Diceros bicornis minor: one gene and its partner. The main gene of each other region encodes a partner of the protein of the gene in region 2 in a complex. Links are inferred from orthologs where the notes say so. Each region holds a gene or a part of one and is shown on either strand. Other genes may lie near its edges.

Region 1 (8,023 bases), on a different chromosome or scaffold from region 2:
ACAGCATGGCTTGATAAGCATTGCGTCAGTCCGAGCCCAGGATCCAAACCTGTGAACCCTGGGCCACCGAGGCGGAGCGTGCAAACTCAACCGCTACGACACCGGGCCAGCCCCCGGAAAATACATTTTGATGGAATGAAATACAATAAAGACGGTGTCATAAACCTAATTTCTAATGCCCTTGAAAGAATCTGGAAACTCGTCGGTCAGTCTCAAATATTTTTTGAGCACTACCATGCACCAAGCACTATTCTAGGTACTCAACATACAGCTTGATTCCCAACTCGCTCATGTCTTCAAAGTTTTTATTCTAGGGGGCACATCCTTCCAAATGCCAAAAGGTATCTATCAAAATAAAAAATAAATAATTGTTAGGCAATTGTGTTTTCCTATTATGGTTAATTATCACTACAATGCCAGTATTACCTGCAACTATCTTCTCATTGCAGGCATAAAGTATTTGGAGTTTAACAGGCTATCCATAATCTACAAAACACTCCTAAGCACGTAAATTCTGGTCTTTAACCTATTTGCTTCTGGACTGACTCAAGCTCTCTGTAGACACTGGTGACAGAAACAAGCCCAGGGATGCCTTAACTAGCAGGAACTTTAGATTACTACTTCCCTACAAGGAGTGAAGTACTATTCTCTCTAAAGTACAATCCATTCAAACCTGGCTTAAACCATGTGCATTAATATAGCAAAAATAAAATGAGAAGAGAAGAAAGAAACCATTATTTTTTCAACACTCACTACACACAAGGCTCTGTGCTAGGCACTTTATATATATTATCCCATTTTTTTATATATCGCAGTCACTAAAAGTTCAGCCTTTGAGATCAGATAGACCTGGGTTTGACTCCTGGTACCAACATTTAGAGTTTAACTTCGCTGAGATTCAGTTTCCTCATCTCCAAAATGGCCTAGCACATAGATTTACTGAGGATTAATTTACTGAGATAATAAAATGAGATGATACTTAGTTGAAAGAAGAAGATAAAGGAGCTAAATTCTAGGAGCCAAGGAATCTCAGTCAAGGGGAAAGAAGGCTAGACTAAGAAGATGTATTTGAGGCTAATAAGAAAAGTGCTGGTTCACATGTATTCCTAGGACTACACCACCCAAAATGCCAACATACAGATAACTGCTTCTTTTATATATTCAGATAGGGAGTTGATCCCATAGAAAAACTTGCTTCTATTTACATTAGATGAAAATGGGGGAAAATTTCTTTTTTTGAAACATATTATACATGAATTCTATTAGGAATTATTTCAATGCAGTTCAACAGAAACTTCTTGAAAACACCTCCTAGGTATGTACTCCTCAATGGCAGAGACCATATCTTCTTCATCCATGTATCTCAAATATTTAGCCAATGCCAGGGACATAAGTGCTCAGTAAGTACTGCTGGAAAAAAGAATGTGTATCTACCATAATACAGACTATCTGTTCTTAATTCAAAGGAGAAGAATTCTGAAAAAAAAGAAGCATATTTTTATGATTTCTTTTTTGCTTACAGCCTTAAAAAAACCTCATATATTCCTATCTTGAAAACTGAACCAGCTTAGTTATTCATTTTTGTAACCATACTGAATCTCATCATCTCCGCGCGTTCAAGTTAAAACGGTTATATGTTATTTTACTTACCCACAGTTTCTATATGCTTTTGGAGCCAAGGAAGTTGCATTCCTGTACCGGAGAGCTCACAGGTTTCCCGCCGGTCATCCTCTGTTACAGACTTTATCAATTCTTCACTGAAATCACTCATACCTATTCCAAACTGAGAATATCAATTACTCTCTGTACATCTTAATCCACAGGCTTCTGAGTTCTACAGGAAAAAAAAACCATCTTTTTACCTAATAAATATCATTTGATTAACAAAATTAACTGTACCTAGTAGTTCCCTCGAAGAAAAAAACCAATTTAATTATGTCAGCTACAGCCAAAAATAATGATCCATTCAAAAAAAAAAAAACTTAACTACTATTATATTTCAAGAACATACAAAGATAGATACTAACCTTTTAATTAAAAAAATACTCAAGTCTAGAGCAAAATGACGCAAAATGACGCATAATAACAAAATAATAGGACAAGTAAGTCCAATAATAATAATAGGAGTTAACATTTATTGGGCCTGTTCTACACACCAGGCATATAAATTATCTAATTTAATCCTTACAGAAATCCTAAGGAAAGTACTATTATTTTCTTCCATTTTCATGTCGAAAAAACTGAGAGATTAGTGAAATTATGTGACCTGGTCCACCGTCACAAGAAAGGAGAGAACAATATTATAGGAACTAGAACACGAAACTACCTGGCATGAATAGAGTCTGGGGTCTGCGTGGAGGAGGCGGCAGAAGGCAGAACTGACGGCGGGAAAGGAATCTAGAAAGACAGCCATTTTCCAAGCTGAGTCTGGACTTGATCCTCAAGATACTCAGGGCCCCATATCCAATGGATTACGAGGTCCTGCTGATACTACCTGCTAGCACTTCTCCAGTCTTCCCTCTTCTCCGCAATCCTACGTCACTACCCCAGTTCAGGACACCTTCAAACTGGGTCTAGATTACTGCTTTAGCTTTCTCTCTGGTTACCCTGCTTCGAATTTTGCTTCTCCACATTACAGCCACGTAAACCTTTTAAAATCAAATGCTAGGGTTAGGAGCGTGGGCTTGAAATAACACCTGAATCTGCAACCGACCCACATGTATTTTAAGACGTCGTTCCATAAGGAGCTCTCCCTTCCCAAAGTCTCAAAGACTAAATTGATGTCACGCGGTTGCCACGGTAACCAAAGCTTCTCCACCCCTTCTGCCCAGTTCTCGGACCTCGAGGTTTCAGAGCATCAAGAGAAGATAGCAGAAGGAACACAGGTGAATCCTAGCACAGCCCTTCCCGTTCCACTGTGAATGCACTTACCTGCCTAAAGCCGGAGCTCTTCTGTAACATTAAACTCTAGGTCCCGACTCCAGAAGCAACGTGAGGAACCCTTCCCCGGAAGCGAAGTTAGCGAGTGCTTCCCGTGAGCATGCGCAAAATCTGCCTCGGGCGTCCCTGCGGTGCGCAGACGCAGCCCCGCCCCTAACTCCTCCTTCCGCGGTGGAGGCGTGGCTGTCCGCGCCTCGACCCCGGAAGTGACCCGGAAGTGACCGTTGACTGTCGCCCTCGCTTTGGGATGGCTCCAGGTTTGTGACTTAGTCTGTCGCAGCCGCAAAATAGGAGAGTTTAACTGCAAATGAAGATGGGAGTGAGGGCACCTGGAAGAGAGGAATGGTCAAAAAAGCAGAATGTCACTTTACCCGAGTAATTCACTGTACGATGACCTTTCCGTTCCTGCTTGGCTCAGGGTTGCACTGCGCGAGCCTCGGAGGCGTGGCTGGCGGTCCTGACAAGATAAATCGTTACATAGCCTAACTGCTTCCTTGAAATGTTTTTTCTCTTTTATTAAAGTTTTAGCTTTGAATTTTTTTTTATTTGAAGAAAGTTGTAAAACTTTATTCAGAGATTAACTCTCAAATTTCCACCGTAAGGACAGCATGCTTGAAAATTTGTGGTTGTCCTTTACCTGCTTCTGGCATTTTAATGGGCTCTAGATGTGGTAGAATCTCTTCCTCGACATCAGGACCTTCTCCAGGCTCATCCACAGTCTTCAACAGGGTCAGTTCCTGTTGATCAGTTTCCACATCAGGCCCGTGAACTGAAGGTGCTCCTTCATCATCAATGTCCTGAGCAGGTATAATATCCTGACTCTCAGTTGGTGGTTCCTCTAGTTGAGGTTGTTCATCACTGGGCTGCTGAGCAACCACAGGTTCAACTGGCTGAGAAGACTCTCGATCATGTTTTCTTCCTGCAGCTTTGGATCTTGTTCTTACATGCCAACTCATATTTCCCATGGCTGAGTTTCAGCCAGCGAGAAAGAATCAAGATGGCAGGAACATGACCTCCCCTGGCACAGCGACTGGCACAGAAGAAAAGCTAGCTTTGAATTTAAGTGACTCTGACTGCCTGCCCAAAATTTGGACAAGCATACCTTTTTCCTTCTCGGGGGATGGTTCCGTGGATCCGTGTGGGGTGACTTTTCATAACGAATTGCCAAACTTCTGTGAAATAGGAGTCGAAAGTAAGATGATTAAATGTGAAATGAGGGCAAGTTGAGGAGGTCTAGGAAAGATGATCCTGGGAAAGCAGAGACACATGCGAACATAATATGTATCTCCAAAATTTGTGGAGTTGATCTGTGAAAGAAGGGTAAGACTATTTTTTCATAGAATCAGAGAATAGAACTAGGACTAAGTAGGTAAAGTTAAAGGGAAACAGCGTAAAGTCATTACAAGAATTTTGTTCGTAAATAAGGCTGCGCAAATAACGGCACAGGCTCCCACATGAATCTTTGGATTTCCTCTACCCTGAAAGTGAACCATTTGAGCAGAATCAGAGTGTTGTAGAGGAGATTAAAGGGTCTAATAAAAGTTTGTACAGCGACTCCTTAAAATGCTGCAAATACTTGATTCTATGTTGTCTTGATAAATACTATGCAGTAGCTATGGGCTTGCAGGAAAAATTCCTTTGGCTGATCCTTGTGTCATAAGTCCTTGGCCTCACTCAAGCCTGTACTCTAATTCCACAGGCAAGGCTGACCTAAATGATAATGTCCAGGAGGGCACACACACAAAATAACAGCCATAAGCTTCTAGTCTAGAGGTTTGATCTGGGCACATTGCTCGCCTTGCTATGGGAAGGTATGAGGTGTGATTTCACCAAAACCAATCCAGAACTGATTTTATGTGGCTAGAAATTCATGCTCTCACAAAAATGGGGAAGAAATTTCTGATTTACCTTAACGTTCTCAGGCAACTGTGGGCAATGGTAGATAAATCTAAAGAGAGAAAGTTAAGAACTAATATCTTTATATGCTCTACCTACCTCTTCTCTTTTCCATGGTACAATTCTGGTAAAAAGTGCGTTAGGGAGAAGAGAGTAAAAAGAAAATGATTATACTATATCACATGGAATAGCATAAATAAGATTTAAAAAAAGGAAATAGTCTGACAAAAATGCAAACATAAAACAATGCATGCAGAAGACTTTCTAGACTCTGATCTAGAAGAAAACATATCCTAAGGAACAAAGATGTTCTTACAATTGCATTGTGCTAAAGAGTAACTTAATATGATGTTGAATTACGTTTTTTAAAAAAACTGCAAACTGTTATTTAGAGAATATTATTCCCATGAACCCTTCAATTATTCCCATAAACCCTTTATTAGATTCCCTGCAGTCTAATAGAGAACAAGCTTCAGACAACCAAACAATTGGAAAGACATCATCGTAAGTAGACTATACTATATCACAGCTAATAATATGAACAAGATAAAAAAGGAATATGGCAAAATGAAAGCATAAGAACAAAACAGGTCACATAACAATATAGAGAAAAATATTATCCAACTATAAACTCCCCCAAATACGTGGACTAGGACCCCACCCCAGACTTGAGGAAAAACTATGGCCTCAAAGGTACAACTTCATTTTTTTTGCCCGTTTGGTGCCCTGAGCTACTCTGCAAAGAAGTCCAGGCTATCCTACTGGGGAGAGAGAGGCTGCAGGAAAAAAGAGTCCCTGGAGGATGAAACACCACACAGAGAGATGCCACATGAAGAGGACAGTCAGCATCTTAATTCCACATGTGTGAGGAAGTCCTTCTCAGATCTTGTCTCCCAAATCAGTCACTGGCTAAATGCAGCCGCATAAGTGAGTACAGTTGACAACACAGGGGCAGAGGTAAACTATTCTCACCAAGCCCGGTACAAATTCCTGATTCACAATATGGTGAGTAACAAAATGGTGGTTGTTCTAAGCCACTAAATTTTGGAGTAGTTTGTTACACAGCAATAGAAAACTGAAACACTGAATTGATCATTTGCATCTTCCATCTTTTTTTCTTCATCAGTCGATCTTGTTAGACATTACCAGTTTATTTATGCTGCAGTCAGAAAACAAACTCTGTGAGATGTCAAGATTTTAAAAATTTCAGAGACTTACTTTATTGCCCAAAGTATAGTCTATTTTGGTAAATGTTCCGTGGACACTAGAAAAGAATGTGTGTTCTACAGCTGTTGAGTGTCATGTTTTACCAATGTCAATGAGGTTAAGGTGGTTGTTAGTTTTGTTCAGATCTTCTGCATTGTTACTGATTTTTCATATCACCGTATGAACACTTACTATTAATTACTGAGGTAGGCGTGTTAAAATGGCAAACTATGTTTGTGAATTTGTCTCTTTCTTTAGTTTTGTCAGCTTTCCTTCACATATTTTGAAGCTTTGTTATTGAACACACAAACATTTGTGGTTCTTATATCTTCCTGATGAAATAACCATTTTATCATTATAAATATCCTTTATATCTCTGATAAAACTCTTTATCTTGAATGAGTTTGTTTGATATTAATATAGTCACAGCCATGTTCTCAGCTTACTGTTTGTGGGGTATATCTTTTTCCATTTTTCTACTTTCAACCTATCTGTGTTTTTTATTTAATGTACTTCCCTTGTTGACAATAATTAGTTGGAGCCACATATTTTTAATCCAATCTGACAATCACTATCTTTTAATTGGTGTGTTTTATTCATTTATATGAATTATAATAATTGATATTTTTGAATTTAAGTCTATCATTTTTCTATTTGTTTCCAATTTGTCCCATTAGTTTTTTGTTCCTCTATTCTTCACTTCCTGCCATTTTTGGGATTAATCAAATGTTTTGGTATTCCGTTTTAATTCCTCTGTTAGCTTTTAGCTATATCTCTTTGCATTATTGTTTTAGCAGTGTTTCTAGGAATTATGATATGCATTCTTAAATTATCACAGTCTACTTGGAGTTAAAATTGTGATACTTCACATAAAATAAAGGAGCCTTACCACAGTATAATTCCATTTACCACCACCCCCAAGTCATTCGTGCTTTATTGTCATCTATATTATATCTACATACATTGTTATTTTTGCTTTAAACAGTTATATGTATTTTAAAGAAATTCAGAGAAGAAAAATATATATTGCCTTTTATATTTACCTATGCTTTACCGTTTCCAGTACCTTTCATTCCTTCCAGTAAATTATCTTCAAAAATAGCTGCCAGGAATTCTCCCCACTCGTGTACATGCGTGTTGCTTTTCCCATTAAGAAGTAGAGTCTGTTGTCTCACCCCTTGAATCTGGGCTAGTCATTTGACTTGATGCACAAAATATGGCAAAAGTGATGCCATGCCAGTTCTAAGACTAGGACTTAAGAAGTCTTGCACTTTCCACTTTTATCCTCTAGGAATCCAGCCAAGAAGAAAGTAAGTTTAGGCTAGATTACTGAATACAGGCATACCTCATTTTACTGCACTTTGCTTTATTGTGTTTTGCAAATATTGCATTTTTTACGAGACCCTCCACCAGTAAAAAGATTATGACTCACTGAAGGCTCAGATGATGGTTAACATTTTTTAGCAATAAAGTATTTTTTTTATTAAGGTATGTACATTTTTTTAAACATAATGCTATTGCACACTTAATAGACTACAGTATAGTGTAAACATAACTTTTATATGCACTGAGAAACCAAAAACTTTGTGTGACTCGCTTTATTGCAATATTCGCTTTATTGTGGTGGTCTGGAACTGAGCCCACAATATCTCCGAGGTATGCCTGTGATGACAAATGTTTGGAGAGAGAGAGGCCCATCCTAGCCATTTCAGCCACCACAACTGAGCCACCAGACACGTGAATGAAGCTATTTTGGAAGTTTCAGCCCTGGCCAAGCTCCCAGCTGAATGCAGCCACGTGCACTCATGAACCACCCAGTTAAGTCCAGCGAAGGCACAGTATTAAGAGAAATAATAAATTATTATCATTTTAAACCATTAGCTTTATTACATAGTAAGGGATGACTAAAACACTATAGATTTAAGTTTCCATTGAATGTGCCATCATCTCCTTTCATCCCAAAGAATTTCTTTTAGCATTG
Region 2 (6,970 bases):
CTTTCTTTGTAAAAACACTCAAAAAACTAGGAATAAAATGGGAACTTGCTCACCTTGATAAAAGGCATCGTTGGAAAAACCCATAGCCTACTTCATATTTAATGGTGAAAGACTGACATCTTTCTCCCTAATATCAGACACAAAACAAATATGTCCATTCTTGCCACTTCTATTCAACATTAGTACTAAAGGTTCTAGACAGAGCAGTTAGAGGGAAGGAAGGGAGGGAGGGAGGAAGGAAGGGAGGAAGGAAAGAAGGGCATCTAGATTGGAAAGGAAGAATATAACTTTCTATTTTGCAGATGACAACATCTTATATATAGAAAATCCTAAGGAATCTACAAAACCTATTAGATCTAATAAATGAGTTCAGCAAGGTTGCCAGAAACAAGATCAATATCCAAAACTCAATTGTATTTCTATATACTACAAATGAACAATTTGGAAATTAATTTAAGAAAACAATTCCATTTATATCAGCATCAAAAAGAATTAAATACTTAGGAATAACTTTAACAAAAGAAGTTCATTTATACACCAAAAACTAAAAATCATCTTTGAAAGAAATTAAACACCTAAATAAATGGAAAGACATCTCATGTTCATCGATTGGAAGACAATTATTGTTAAGATGAAAATAGGCCCCAGATTGATCTACAGATTGAACACAATCTCTATCAAAAATCTCAGCTGCCTTTTTGCAGAAATTGACAAGCTGACCCTAAAATTCATATGGAAATACAAAGGACCAGGAATAGCCAAAGCAACCTGGAAAAAAAGAAGAACAAAGTTGGAGGACTTACCCTTCCTGATTTCAAAATTTATTACACTAAAGCCAAACTAATCAAGACTGTGTGGTATTGGCATAAGGATAGACATACAGATCAGGGGAATAGAATTGAGAGTCCAGAAATAAATGTGACCTCATATCTGTGGTCAATTGATTTTTGAGAAGGGGCTAAGACAATTCAACGGGGGAAAAAATAGTCTTTTCAACTAATGATGCTAGTACAACTGAATATCCACATGCAAAGAAATGAAGTTGGATGGCTTTCTCACACCATATACAAAAATTAACTCAAAATGGGTCAAAGGCCTAAATGTAAGAGTTGAAACTAAAAAACTCTTAGAAGAAAACATACGTATAAATCTTGATGATCTTGGATTAGTCAATGATTTCTTAGATATGATAGCAAAAGCACAAGCAACAAAAGAAAAAAATAAATAGACTTCATCAATATTAAAAACTTTTGTGCTGCAAAGGACACCATCAAGGAAGTAAAAGACAAACCCACAAAATGGGAGAAAATATTTGCAAATCATATATCTGATAAGGACTGGTATAGAATATATAAAGAACTATTACAACTCAACAATAAAAAGACAACCCAATTTTAAAATGGGCAAAGTATCTAAAAAGAGATTTCTCAAAAAAAAAAAAATACAAATGGCAAATAAACACATGAAAAGGGGTCGGCCTGGTGGCGCAAGTGGTTGGGTGCGCGCTCTGCTGCGGTGGCCCGGGGTTCGCCGGTTCAGATCCCGGGCACGCACTGACGCACCGCTTGGCAAGCCATGCTGTGGCGGCGTCCCATATAAAGTGGAGGAAGATGGGCACGGATGTTAGCCCAGGGCCAGTCTTCCTCAGCAAAAAGAGGAGGATTGGCAGATGTTAGCTCAGGGCCGATCCTCCTCACAAAAAAAAAAAAACCACACATGAAAAGATGCTCAACATCATTAATCATTAGAGAAATGCAAATTAAAACCACAATTAAATACTAATTACATTTATTAGGGTGGATATAATCAAAGGACAATAACAAATACTGGTGAGGGTAGGGAGAAATTGAAATCCTCAAACATTGCTAGTGGGAATGTAAAATTGTACCACTGCTTTGGAAAACAGTTTGGCAGTGCCTCAAAAACTTGAACGTGGAATTACCATATAACCCAGAAATTCCATTCCTAGCTATAATACCTAACAGAATTGAAAACATATGTCCATACAAAGACTTGTGTATGGATATTTATAGCAGTATTATTCCTAATCGCTAAAGGCGGAAACAACCCAAATGTCCATCTACTGGTAAACAGGTAAACAAACTTTGGTATTACCATACAAGGGATTATTATTCAGCCGTGAAAGGAATGAAGTGCTGATACATGCTGCAACATGGATGAACCTTGAAAACAGTGGGGAGATGGTGAGGATGGTCCAACTTTTTAAGACTTGTGTTCTACAGGGGAGCAGAGAAATAGTGTGGTAGCTGAAAGGGACAAGGAATCAGCGAGTTGCTTCTTTTTGTTTTAAGAGTTTTTCAAGCAAGTTTGTATGCTGATGGAAATGACTGCTCCTCCGATAATCCCTTTATTCTCCTGCCTTCTAGGAGCCCTTGACTAGGGGAGAGGGAATGAAGGAAGCGTTTTCCTTAAAAGGAGCAAAGACATTATAAAGGAAGCAAAGGCAGAATTTAGGTTACAGCTGCACAAATCTTGGTAGATTTGATGATGTCAACATGAGATAGAAACAGGAGATAACTTAAAAAAAAAGTGATATAGGAATGAAAATTACCAGCTGACCCAGGTGAAATTGACGGGAGGGAGGGATTACCAAGGGACAGGAGGACACTTTTGGGAGTGGTGGATTAATTCATTAATGCCATTGTGGTGATGGCTTCATGGGTGTATATACAGGTCAAAATTATCAACGTGTACAATGTAAATGTGTGCAGTTTATTGTCTGTCAATTATACTGCCATACAGAATATACCTGTTACACACACACACACACACACACAAAAGATGCAGTTGAAAGACATCTGCAGGCATTCCCTAATGAACCCTACACGGGGGGCGATAACTGACTCATAGGACTCGGAAACTTAAAGGCTCTCGAGGCTGTAAGGCCCCTGAAGGCTGTAAGGCCCGCCATCCCCCTCCCCACCCCGCAGGACGCTGGGGGTCTGGGGAGAGGGGCAGTGAGGGCAGACCGCTGCATGGCTGTCGCGTGATGAGCCGTCACGACTTCAGGGCTGGACAGTGTGGGGGGAACAGGGAGAATCTCCCTCTGCCCTTTCCCTTAAGGTTCTTCTGGCTGGCCAAATAATTAACAAGACAGGTTAGCAAGAGAAAATAATACCAAGTTTAATAACATGTATACATGGGAGAAACTCAGAAATGAGCAACTCGTCCCTCTGTCTCAGCTGCTTGCTTAAGTATTGCAGCTAAAGGCGAGGACCGTGTTGGGGGCGGGTAGTGGCCTGGGACTTCAGAGGGCAGGAAGACAATTCTTTTCAGGGTCATCTATAGATAATGTGGTCAGGGAGAGACAGAGTTTTTGATAAAAGAGGCTTGGTGCCTTTCCTGTTGTAACCTCTATCCTACATTATCTTTACAGCCATCATGATAGAAGATCTGTTCCAGGAAGGAGCCACCATGTCAAATTCTTTAGGCAGTTAGTGGGGGAGGTCAAATGTCCCTCAGAGAAAACAATCAAGGTAAAGAGATAGATTTCAGGGTGGCCAAATCTTGATCTCCCACCACAGACAGAGCCCCCCGGTGCCCAGCAACATCTGCTCTTTCCCCGGAGCCGGCCCCCCGCTGGCTGTCTCCCCAGGGTCATATCGGCATCGGATCCGGAGGGCGGTCGGGGAACAGACGGGAATCTTCGAGGATTGCTCTCCGGTCCTAAGGGACTGGGCGAATGAGCGCCAAAGAGGTCACTCGCTGAAGGGGCGGTGGAACGGGCTTCCGCCTCAGGAATGCTTCGCCGAGGGGGGCGTGGGTGGGGCGGCGAGCTGGCTCTGCACAGTCTTAAACCGGCCCGTTCCCTCCACGGTTCTGGTTCCAAGTCGACCCCATCAAGACGAAGGGCCAAGGGCCGGCGGAACTAGACAAACTACATTTCCCGGCAGGCCGTGGGCGCCGCGTCGCCGGCCTCTCTTCCCGGCGCGCGCGCGCGGGGCGGTCGCCGGCGGCCGGTGCGCAGGCAGACGCATGGATCCCGACGGCCGGTGGCGGAACCTGCCCAGCGGGCCCAGCCTGAAGCACTTGACTGACCCCTCTTACGGGGTCCCGCGGGAGCAGCAACACCCGGCGCTGCAGGAGCTGACGCGGGCGCACGTCGAGTCTTTCAACCACGCTGTGCGCGAGGGGCTCGGCCACGCGGTGCAGGTGAGCGCGGAGTCCGCGCCGGCTCCCTCGGGCCTGCGTTCGCCGGCGCCGCGGCGGAGCCCGGGCGGCCGGAGGCGAGGGGCGCGGCGGGGCTGCAGGAGGGGGTGCGTGTGGGGCGCGGGGCGGGGTGAGGGCGCCCCGCGGCCTGGGACGGGGCCGGGGAGGTCCGGGAGGCGGCGCTGAGTGGGCCCTGGGCGGAGCAGGGCGCAGGCCGGCGACAGGTCCCACAGGGATGGCCGCGAGGGCACAGTGTTGTCCCCAGCAGTCGTGCTCCTTCCTCGTGCCAGGCTCAGCGCGGGGCGTAGGCCCTGGCACCTGGAGTCGAGTCGACTAGGGGGAGATGTATTTGTGATTCCTGGATGTGCGTGTGCTCGGGAACCGTGGTGTTTTGTAGGGCGGTTTACGGGTGCTGTGCGTGTGGAACTGGCCCGTGTGGGGTGTGCTTCCGACAACCAGGCACGACCGCACTCGCTTTTTATAGCACTTGAAGATTTACCTATCCAAAACCTCAAAAGGTTCTGAAACCTATTGGTTGATAGACTGTGATGGGTAAGGTCAGCCTTCACTGTTTTCTTCTCTTAGAGCTTTCGAGGGAGAAAGTACTGGGTACCTGTTCTGAATGAGGCGGGATTAGGAGGATAAAATGAGGCATAACAGCGAGATTCAGTAGGAAAGTGCAATAGCGTTGTTAGGTGACATTTGCTCATCAGTAAGTTATTGCTCTAGAGGGTAATGGTAGCAGAGTTCAAGTGAGGATGGTGGGGGAAGGACTCATTTAGTAAGCATCCCAGCGGCTCCAGGCACCAGGCTCTGAGGGCGAGGAAGAGGCAGTCCCGTGTAAGACGCAGTTCTTGCTTTTGAGTGCTCGGTATCATGTTTTGGGAGTGGGGCGGCGGTGGTGGGGACATGATAGTAGTCACTGCCAATGCTCTTGAGAACTGCTCTGCCAAGGGGTTGTGTAGGGTACTTGGGGAGCTCTAGGGAGTGCAGCTAATCCAGGTTTTTGAGAAAGGGCAGGGTTAGATGAATTGAAGGGAGGAGGAGAGTGCATTCTCTCCAGGGGCTGTGAAGGAGCAGAGCTCAGGGGACACTGTCCTGTGGTTTTGTTGGGTAGGATCTGTGTTGTGAGAGACAGGGATAGAGATAATGTGGAGAGAGAGCTTTGCCAGTCTCTAATACTTGAACTCTATTTTGTGAATAATATGAGAGCCACTGAGGTTTCTTTGAAGATTAATACTCCCTCATGTTTTTGCAAAAGACAGGACTGGTGGGAAATACATATGTCATGCCTGGACTCCTATTGTATCTTGTCTATGAGAAAAATTATATCCAATTAAAAGTTAACTGGCACTGAGGTTTATTAAAACAATGAAAAAAAGAGTCCAAGATTGAGATGATGAAGGAGGGCTTACTCGAAAATAAAAACGGAGTGGGGCCGGCCTGGTGGCATAGTGGTTAAGTTCACATGCTCCATTTCGGCAGCCTGGGGGTTCATGGGTTCGGATATGGACCTACACGCTGCTCATCAAGCCATGCTGTGGCGGTGTCCCACGTACAAAGTGGAGGAAGATTGGCAAGCATGATAGCTCAGGGCCAATCTTCCTCAGATAAATAAATACATAAATAAATAAATACACACATAAAAAGGAGTACATGTCCATGAGAGTTTTTATGAAGGAGTAATATATAGACCAGCGGTTCTCAAACATTTTGGTCCCAGGATTCCTTTCCACTCTTTAGATTCTTGAGGTATCCCAAAGAGCTTCTGTTTATCAATATTTACTCTATAAGAGATTAGAATTGGAGCCGGCCCGGTGGTGTAGTGGTTAAGATCATGCGTTCCGCTTTGGCGGCCTGGGGTTTGCGGGTTTGGATCCTGGGCAGGGACCTGCTTACTGCTCATCAAGCCATGCTGAGGCAGCGTCCCATATAGAAGAACTACAACTCTACAACTATGATACACAACTGTGTACTGGGGATCTGGGGAGAAAAAAGAAAAAACAGGAAGATTGGCAACAGATGTTAGTGCAAGGCCAATCTTCCTCAAAAAAAAAAAAAGAAATTAGAATTGAGAAATTTTAAAAATACTAATTCATTTAAAAATAAACCAATAATATATTTATTTTTTTATTAAAAATATTTTCTAAAGCAAAAAAGAAATTAGCAGATGAAGGATATTTTTGTGTATCTTTTAAATGTCTGGCTTATTAGAAGACAGCTGGATTCTCATATCTGCTTCTGCATTCAGTCTCTTACGGTATGTTGTTTTGGTTGAAGTACATGAGAAAATCGGGCCCCACACAGATAATCCTGACACTGCAGCTTAGCTGGTACCATAATACGATTTGAAAATGTTGTCTTATAAAGCATAGTAAGGTAAGTGACTAACATTTATAGAGGCAAGGGGAAAACAGCCTCTATCATATTTTCTTTGGAGTAGATTCCTCCATTCTGTGAGTCTAAGTTGATATGTCTGTCACAGTCATCTTTTCAGAATACAGTTGATTCCCATTATTCTGGAATTCCATATCTGTGCATTGCCTACTTGCTAAATTGTATTTGTAACCCAAAATCAGTACTCACCAACATGTGCAGAGTGGCGAAAAATTTGAGTTACCCAGTGCACACGTCCCAACTGAGGTCCAACAAGGCGATGCTCTGCTTTCTCGTTCCCAGCTCTTATACTGTAGATAGGTCTCCTTTTTGAGGTCTGTTCAGTTTTTCACATTCTTGTGCTTTTTGATGGTGATTTTGCTGTTTAAAATGGCCCTCAAGTATAGTGCTGGAGTGCTGTTTA

What was found. Proteins that work in one complex are often made in the same cells at the same time.
Region 1: POLR1B (region 2) and TAF1A share a complex: the UniProt entries of both Homo sapiens proteins name them as parts of the pol I pre-initiation complex. The link is inferred for Diceros bicornis minor from reciprocal best matches to the Homo sapiens genes POLR1B and TAF1A.

What each region holds. Positions count from the first base shown.
Region 1 is NC_080777.1:10,819,472-10,827,494, reverse strand, and holds the start of TAF1A (TATA box-binding protein-associated factor RNA polymerase I subunit A), read right to left. Parts: upstream 3,021-8,023; 5' UTR 2,962-3,020; coding exon 2,932-2,961; intron 2,398-2,931; exon of another isoform or gene 2,327-2,397; intron 1,835-2,326; exon of another isoform or gene 1,784-1,834; coding exon 1,651-1,783; intron 1-1,650. Other genes in the region: putative G antigen family E member 3, read right to left, coding at 3,525-3,905. UniProt on the Homo sapiens protein: Component of the transcription factor SL1/TIF-IB complex, which is involved in the assembly of the PIC (pre-initiation complex) during RNA polymerase I-dependent transcription.
Region 2 is NC_080779.1:19,273,903-19,280,872, forward strand, and holds the start of POLR1B (DNA-directed RNA polymerase I subunit RPA2), read left to right. Parts: upstream 1-3,964; 5' UTR 3,965-3,996; coding exon 3,997-4,173; intron 4,174-6,970. UniProt on the Homo sapiens protein: Catalytic core component of RNA polymerase I (Pol I), a DNA-dependent RNA polymerase which synthesizes ribosomal RNA precursors using the four ribonucleoside triphosphates as substrates.